Linked DNA regions of Macaca mulatta. The protein of the gene in region 1 purifies or fractionates together with the protein of each later gene. This does not show direct contact. Links are inferred from orthologs where the notes say so. Each region holds a gene or a part of one and is shown on either strand. Other genes may lie near its edges.

Region 1 (4,171 bases):
TTATTTTAATTAATTAATGTATTTATGTTTTGTGAGACGGAGTCTTGCTCTGTCACCCAGGCTGGAATGCAGTGGCATAATCTTGGCTCACTGCAACCTCCACCTCCTAGGTTCGAGCGATTCTCCTGCCTCAGCCTCCCAAGTAGCTGGGATTACAGGAGCCCGCCACCATGCCTGGCTAATTTTTGTATTTTTAGTAGAGATGGGGTCTTACCATGTTGACCAGGCTGGTCTCGAACTCCTGACCTCAGTGATCTGCTGGCCTCGGCCTCCCAAAGTGCTGGGATTACAGGCGTGAGCCACCACACCCGGCCAACAGTGGTATAATTTTAAATCTGAATTCAATCTGAATGAGCTGACATTTAAAAATTGGGAGATTTCTTTTCTTTTGAGACAGAGTCTTGCTCTGTTGCCCAGGTTGGAGTGCAGTGGCGTGATCTCGGCTCACTGCCACCTCTGCCTCCCGAGTACAAGTGATTCTCCTGCCTCAGCCTCTCAAGCAGCTGGGACTATAGGCGTGTGCCACCATGCCCAACTAATATTTGTATTTTTAGTACAGACAAGGTTTCACCATATTAACCAGGTTGGTCTCAAACTCCTGACCTCATGATCCACCCACCTCAGCCTCCCAAAGTGCTGGGATTATAGGCATGAGCCACCATGCCCGGCCAAAATTGGGAGATTTCACCTAAAACATCCTGTTTGGACTTTTTTTTTCCCCTCAGGAAATGAGATCTAGGCCCACCCTCCTGCCCAGTGAGCCTGTGGCTGCCTCCCATCATCACAGAACTTGAGGGAGTGATGATGTTATGCTGTCCTACCTTTGAGAGGTGTTTGCTCTGCCTTTCTGACTGGTGGGAGCTCTGGCTCTAGTGCTCAGAGCCAGGAGGGGATACCTGGGAACTTGCCTGACCAGTCCAGGGACTTCCTGAGAAGGTCAGGAGACACAGGGATTCAAACATAGCTCAGAGGAAAGACAGAGTGAGGGTGGGGAAGGGAGTAGCTGAGATTGCAGCAAAGCCTTGGGCGGATGCAGAGGGTACGGATCTCTCCCCAGGCCCAGCTTCTCTCCTGAACCCCCGACTTGGGCCTGAAGCCTCCCTCTCAAGGGTCGCCTCACTGTCCCCTAGTTCCTCCCTGTACCTCACCATGAATACCCCTCTCTCTCCCCTACCCCAGCCCAGCAATCCCATGACCTGTCCACTAGGCCTCCCTAGTGTCTCTCCCACCTACCTCCTCTCCACTCTATCCATGCTGGTCCAGACCTTTGCTCCCCCTGGGCTCCCACCTCAGTGTCCCCTTCTGATCCACCCTCCACAAGGCAGCCAGGGGAATCTTCCAGAAAAATAACAAACCTGACCCTGATCTTCCCCTGCTTGGAACCTTCCATTGGAACCTTCCATGACTCTACAGCACCCAGGGGTGGAGTCTGCACTCCTCAGCCTGGTACTAAGAGATGTATACCTTCCCTCACCATCATTTGTGGTCAGACCCACTTCACTTTTCTTTCTTTTTTTTTCTTTTCTTTTCTTCTTTCTTTCTTTTTCTTTCCTTCCTTCCTTTTCTTTCTTTCTCCTTTCCTTTTCCTTTCCTTTCCTTTTTCCTTCCTTTATTCTTCCTTCCTTCCCTCCCTCCCTTTTCTTTCTTTCTCTCTCTCTCTCTTCCTTCGTTTTTTGGTTTTTTCTTTGTTTGTTTGTTTGTTTTTTCAGGGTCTCAATCTATCACCCAGGCTGGAGTGCAGTGGTGTGATCTCAGCTCACTGCAACCTCCACCTCCCCGGCTCCAGCGATCTTCCTGCCTCAGCCTCCTGAGTAGCTGGGACTAGAGGCTCGTGCCACCACACCTGGCTAATTTTCTTTCTTTCTTTTTTTTTTTTTTTTGTATTTTTTATAGAGACAGGGTTTTGCCATGTTGCCCAGGCTGGTCTCAAACTCCTGACCTCAAGTGATCTGCCGGCCTCGGCCTCCCAAAGTGTTGGGATTACAGGCGTGAGCCACCGCACCTGGCCTGCCACTTTGTTTTGATAACACTTTTGCCATGGGACATCCTACATCATTTTACTATTATCTTTCTGTCTAAATTCTGCACCCCTCCCACTGCCCTTACCATGCCAGGCCTGCGATCCGGTCAGCTCTGCCCCAACCCAAAATGATCTAAGTTTCAGTTTCCCCAATGACCACAATTCCTATTTCCTAGGATTACTGGAATATAGTGACTGTGAGGATTAAGAGTGCCTGTACTTCAGGCTCACAGCAAGTATGTGTGACTGATCACTGCTGGAAATGGGGAAACTGAGGGGAAGCCAAGAAAAGAGAACTTCTCGGCCGGGCGCGGGGGCTCACGCCTGTAATCTTAGCACTTTAGGAAGCTAAGGCGGGAGGATCACTTGAGGTCAGGAGTTCGAGACCAGCCTGGGCAATATAGCGATACTCCGTCTCTACTTAAATATTTAAAAAATTTAGATTAAAAAAAAGAGAAAAGGGCCCTTCTCAGAGTTACCGGCTCAGGATTCCCCATATCTTACCACGCACCGCACTGCCTGAGCCACCACCATTCAATCTCAAAGCGACTTCAAGCGCAGACCGGGAGGGTGTGAAGGTGGCAGCCAACGCTCGCTGCCTGATACAGCGATTGTCAGGTGGGCTGCAGGGAAAAGTCGTGCAGTCCTCTTTCCGCGATACTCCCTTCTACCGGGACTCCACACCCTGTCAACCCGATGGTCCCGACAGGCCCCCGACGTCAGGGTCCTCACCTGATTTCTCCACTTTCACCTTCACGGGGAACATGGTTTGGGTCCAGGATCTGGCTAGCTGGGTCAGAGGCGCCCCAAAGGGCCTAGGGTCACAAATCAAGGCGGGAGGCGGGCGGGGACAGTTCAAAGATGAGCTTCGTGGGCCACAGCTCCTCCGCCTTTGGTTGTGTTCAGCCTGGACCATGGCCACCACCCTTCTGTGGGCGGGCCCCTTCGGCAGCAGCTTGCTCCTATTAGTTAATGCAGTCGTCAATCTTACATCCTGACCAATTGAGAGCTGCCTCTTTAGTCTCCCAGCTTTAGGTCCCACCCTCCTGGGGCTTTGCTTCCGGAAACAAACCATCGACCACCAAGCTTCCTGGGAGGTGTAGTTCCAGGTTCCCAGACCCACCCGGAGTAACAGCGCCTGCGCCGCGCGGGGCACGGTGGGAAACAAAGGATTAGGGCATCGCGAGGCTTCCCGGGACTTGTAGTGTTAGAAGGGTTGAGCAACACCAATTTAGCTCTTTACCATATTTAACCAACCGTTGGAGTCCCTTCATCCCTAAGAGGAAGACTAATGTAAAATAACGTTGGGTTCCCTTTCACTGAGCACTCTCTAGGTGACAGGTACCAGTTAATCTCTTTGCAGGTACAACTTCATTCATTTTGCAAATATTTATTAGTATGCCGGGCACTCTTCTAGGCATTGGGGACACCTTGAGGAACAGAACAGACAAAAATCCCTGCCCTAATAGGGCTTATCTTTTAAAGGATGGAAGATAAACAGTAAACAAGTAAAACATTCTAAGTGAAATGTAATAGGAGAAAGAATATAGTCTGGGCAGGGCATGGTGGCCCACACCTGTAAGTATCAGCCCTTTGGGAGGCCGAGGTGGGCAGATCACCTGCGACCAGGAGTTCGAGACCAGCCTGGCTAACATGGTGAAACCCCGTCTCTACCAAAAATACAAAAATTAGCCGGGACTGATGGCATGCCCCTGTAATTCCAGCTACTCCAGAGGCTGAGGCAGGAGAATCGCTTGAACCCGGGAGGCGTAGGTTGCAGTGAGCTGAGATCACACTTCTGCACTCCAGCCTGAGTGACAGAGCAAGACTCCATCTCGAAAAACAGACAACAACAAATCCCCAGCCCCCCACCAAAAAAAAAAAAAAAAAAAAAAAAACCCACAAAAAAAGTGTAGCCTTAAACGGACATAGGAATATCAAGGTGGTGATTGAATTTAAAATAAGATGGATGGTCAAGGAAGGATTCTCTGAGAAAGCTCTTGACTATTTTTATTTTTGCAGACAACACTTCCTTCAGAAAACGGGAAACTTGGATTTATCACACATCTTGGTCCAAATAAATCCTAGGAGGTAGCATTGTGATCTACACTTCTGATGAGAATACTGAAGCCCACAGTAGGAAAGTTATGT
Region 2 (3,647 bases), on another chromosome or scaffold:
TATGAACAATGATGAGAAACATTGACAGAAAAAGATCAGATTGTTTTATACTAACAATGATAATGTCTTGCTCAATTAAAAAATTAACCCCATTGATCTTCATTTACTTTTTATCATCTTATTTTATTTTTAGAACCAAAATTGTTTAAAAACATTTTTTTTTTAGGCTGGACATGGTGACTCACATCTGTAGTCCCAGCACTTTGGGAGGCTGAGGCAGGTGGATCACCTGAGGACAGGAGTTTGAAACCAGCCCGGCCAACATGGTGAAACCCTGTCTCTATTAAAAATACAAAAAATTAGCCAGGCGTGGTGGCAGACACCTGTAATCCCAGCTACTGGGGAAGCTGAGGCAGGAGAATCACTTGAACCTGGGAGTCAGAGGCTACGGTGAGCCGAGATCAGGCCATTGCACTCTAGCCTGGGCAACAAGAGTGAAACTCCATCTCAAAAAAAAAAAAAAAAATTTAAATTTAGCATGAACTAAAATCTATTTGCCATTCCTGGATAGGGCTTTAAACTTTGCTCCTCTTCTATTCTGGAAACCCGGAATAGCAAATAGACAATGACCACAAATAGTTTTGTCCCAGAAACAAAGAATATTATTATATTCATTAGCATGAATCTAAACTGGATCGCTAAATTTGTTTCGTTTCCTATCCAGACAAATAATTCTATATGCTTGATACTAGAGTAAGTAAAAGATGTATCTGAGACCCATTGAGTAGCTGCAAGGGGAAAAAAATTAATATACAGTAGAGAAATAGGACAACATCTTGACCAGATGATAAAAATTAACATCACCAATGAGATGAAGGTGGATAACACGTGCCATCATCAGATGTGATCTCCTTAGGACACAAAATCACTTATATAGTTTTCCATCACGGAATGAATAACCTGCATCTTATCAAAAGTTAATAGGAGACAAATCCAAAATTGGGAACCATCTATTCAAAGAGGGGATGAGGGTGGGCACAGTGGCTCATGCCTGTAATCCCAGCACTTTGGGAGGCTGAGGCGGGTGGATCACAAGGTCAGGAGTTTGAGACCAGCCTGGCCAATATGGTGAAACTCCATCTCTACCAAAAATACAAAAATTAGCTGGGTGTAGTGGCATGTGCCTATAGTCCCAGCTACTCAGGAGGCGGAGGTTGCAATGAGCTGAGATCGCACCACTGCACTCCAGCCTGGGCAACAGAGTGAGACTCTGTCCCAAAAAAAAAAAGGCTGAGGCAAGAGGATCACTTGAGGTCAGGACTTTGAGACAAGCGTGAGTAACACAGTGAGACCCTGTCTCTATAAAAAGATTTTTAAATATCAGTCAGGCATGGTGGCACATGATTGTAGTTTCAGCTACTTGGGAGGCTGAAGCAGGAGGATCATTTGAGCTGAGGAGTTTGAGGCTGCAGTGAGCTAAAAAGGTGCCACTGTACTCGAGGCCTGGGCAGAGCAAGATCCGGTCTCTAAAAAATTTTTTTTAATTAAAGAAAGGGACAAAGTGATTGTGGATAATATTCCTCCAAAATGGTAATGTCATAAAAGAAAAAGAAAGGCTGTGGAAATGTTCCTAATTAAAGAAGAATAAATACACATGATAAGCAAATGCAATACTTGATCCTTAATTAGAAATTGTACTTCCAGAAAAAAAAATGCTATAAAGAACATTATTGAATCAACTAACAAAACTAGAACAGAGATATCTGGTTAGATAAAATTATTTTATTAGTGTTAATTTTGCTGAAGTTGGTAACTGTACTGTAGTTATTTAAAGAAATACACAGTGAAGTATTTTGGGGTAAAAGGCTATAAATGTATGCTACTTAGATTGAAATGGTTGAGGAAAAAAAGAGGAAGGTCTAGCCGGAAAGGTTGGCTCACGCCTGTAATCCCAGTACTTAGGGAAGCCGAGGCAGGTGGATCACCTGAGGTTGGGAGTTCGAGACCAGCCCGACCAACATGGAGAAACCCATCTCTACTAAAAATACAAAATTAGCCAGGCGTGGTGGCACATGCCTGTAATCCCAGCTACTCGGGAGGCTGAGGCAGGAGAATCGCTTGAACCCGGGAGGCAGAGGTTACGGTGAGCCAAGATTGTACCACTGCACTCTAGCCTGGGCAACAAGAGCGAAACTCCATCTCGAAAAAAAAAAAAGAGAGAAAGAGAGACAGATCTATATATTGAAGAAAAAAAAATCAAATGAGAAAGCAAAAGGGGTAAAATGTCAATAACAGGTGACTCTGAGTCAAGGATATATGGGTATTGTCCTTTTCTTATTTTTGCAACTTTTCTGTAAGCCTAAAATTATTTCCAAATTTTAAAAAATTAATTTAAAAAAATATAGCTAAAGATTTAACACAGAGGTTTCTAGCAGAATTTGTGAAAGGCAGAGAAAGAATATGAAAATTGGGAAAGGATTATCTACGTTTTAACAAACTTAGAATTAAATGAAGTCACACAGTGGCTCACGTCTGTAATCCTATAGCACTTTGGGAGGCCAAGGTAGGCAGATCACTTGAGGTCAGGAGTTCGAGAACAGCCTGAGCAACATGGTGAAACCCCATCTCTACTAAAAAAAATACAAAAAATTAGCCGGGCTTAGTGGTGTGTGTCTGTAATCCCAGATACTTGGGAGGCTGAGGCATGAGAATCATTTGAACCCAGGAGGCAGAGATTGCAGTAAGCCAAGACTGCGCCACTGCATTCCAGCCTGGCTGGCACAGTGAGACTCTGTCTCAAAAATAAATAAATAAATAAATAAAATAAAAATTAAATGAAGTCAAATGATTTCAAAACAAGAGAAAACTGATTCTAAAATTTAGAGCTTATATAACACTTAAAAACATGAAAGAGGTTTACCTTAATTTAGCTGAACGTAGTATTCTGGTAAGTGAAACACAGTTGCCTTCCATGATACCCTTTCCAACCGTGGGAATAATGCTTTTGCGGCATGCAACGTATAATGAACATGCCAACCAGTGTGTAACTTCTCCCTGGCAAGCAAAAGACAAACAGAAAAACAGATATAATATTACGTTAAAATGCTTTAATTCTGGAAAGAAGAGATGTAGAATTATCTGGTCTCAGTTTTCCTTATGTAGATAAAGGGCCAGAGAAGTGAAGATATTTGCCCAAGGTCACAAAGCTGCTAGCTGTAGTAATGGGTATAAAACTCCTTACTCTTAGTTCTGTGCTTTTACAACTATAACATGATAAATTAATATTAATCTAAAGATAAAAGCCTGACTTGGTGGCTCATGTTTATAATCCCAGTAACTCGGGAGGCTGAAGTGGGAGTATCCCTTGAGGCCAGGAGTTCAAGACTAGCCAGGGCAATGTAGTGAGACCCTGACTCTAAAAACGAAAATAAAAAAATTAACCAGGAATGGTGGTGCTTGCCTGCAGTCCCAGCTACTTGGGTGGCTGAGATAAGAGGATCGCTTAAGCTCAGGAATGCAAGACTGCAGTGAGCTATGTTTGTGCCACTACATTCCAAGACAGGTAACTGAGCGAGATCCTGTCTCTTTAAAAAAAAAAAAAAAAAAAAGATAACTCTTTCACTTTCACCTACACTCCAAATCTAATACAGGCATATGCCACATAACATTTTGGTCAACAGTGGACCACATATACAATGGTGGTCACT

What was found. The genes of interacting proteins can lie anywhere in the genome.
Region 2: the proteins of LIN37 (region 1) and RBL1 purify together in Homo sapiens (affinity purification with mass spectrometry; 3 studies listed by BioGRID and IntAct, with this or other methods). This does not show direct contact. The link is inferred for Macaca mulatta from reciprocal best matches to the Homo sapiens genes LIN37 and RBL1.

What each region holds. Positions count from the first base shown.
Region 1 is NC_133424.1:46,996,087-47,000,257, reverse strand, and holds the start of LIN37 (protein lin-37 homolog), read right to left. Parts: upstream 2,937-4,171; coding exon 2,753-2,936; intron 2,698-2,752; exon of another isoform or gene 2,500-2,697; intron 1-2,499.
Region 2 is NC_133415.1:89,942,077-89,945,723, forward strand, and holds part of RBL1 (retinoblastoma-like protein 1), read right to left. Parts: intron 2,995-3,647; coding exon 2,861-2,994; intron 1-2,860. UniProt on the Homo sapiens protein: Key regulator of entry into cell division. Directly involved in heterochromatin formation by maintaining overall chromatin structure and, in particular, that of constitutive heterochromatin by stabilizing histone methylation.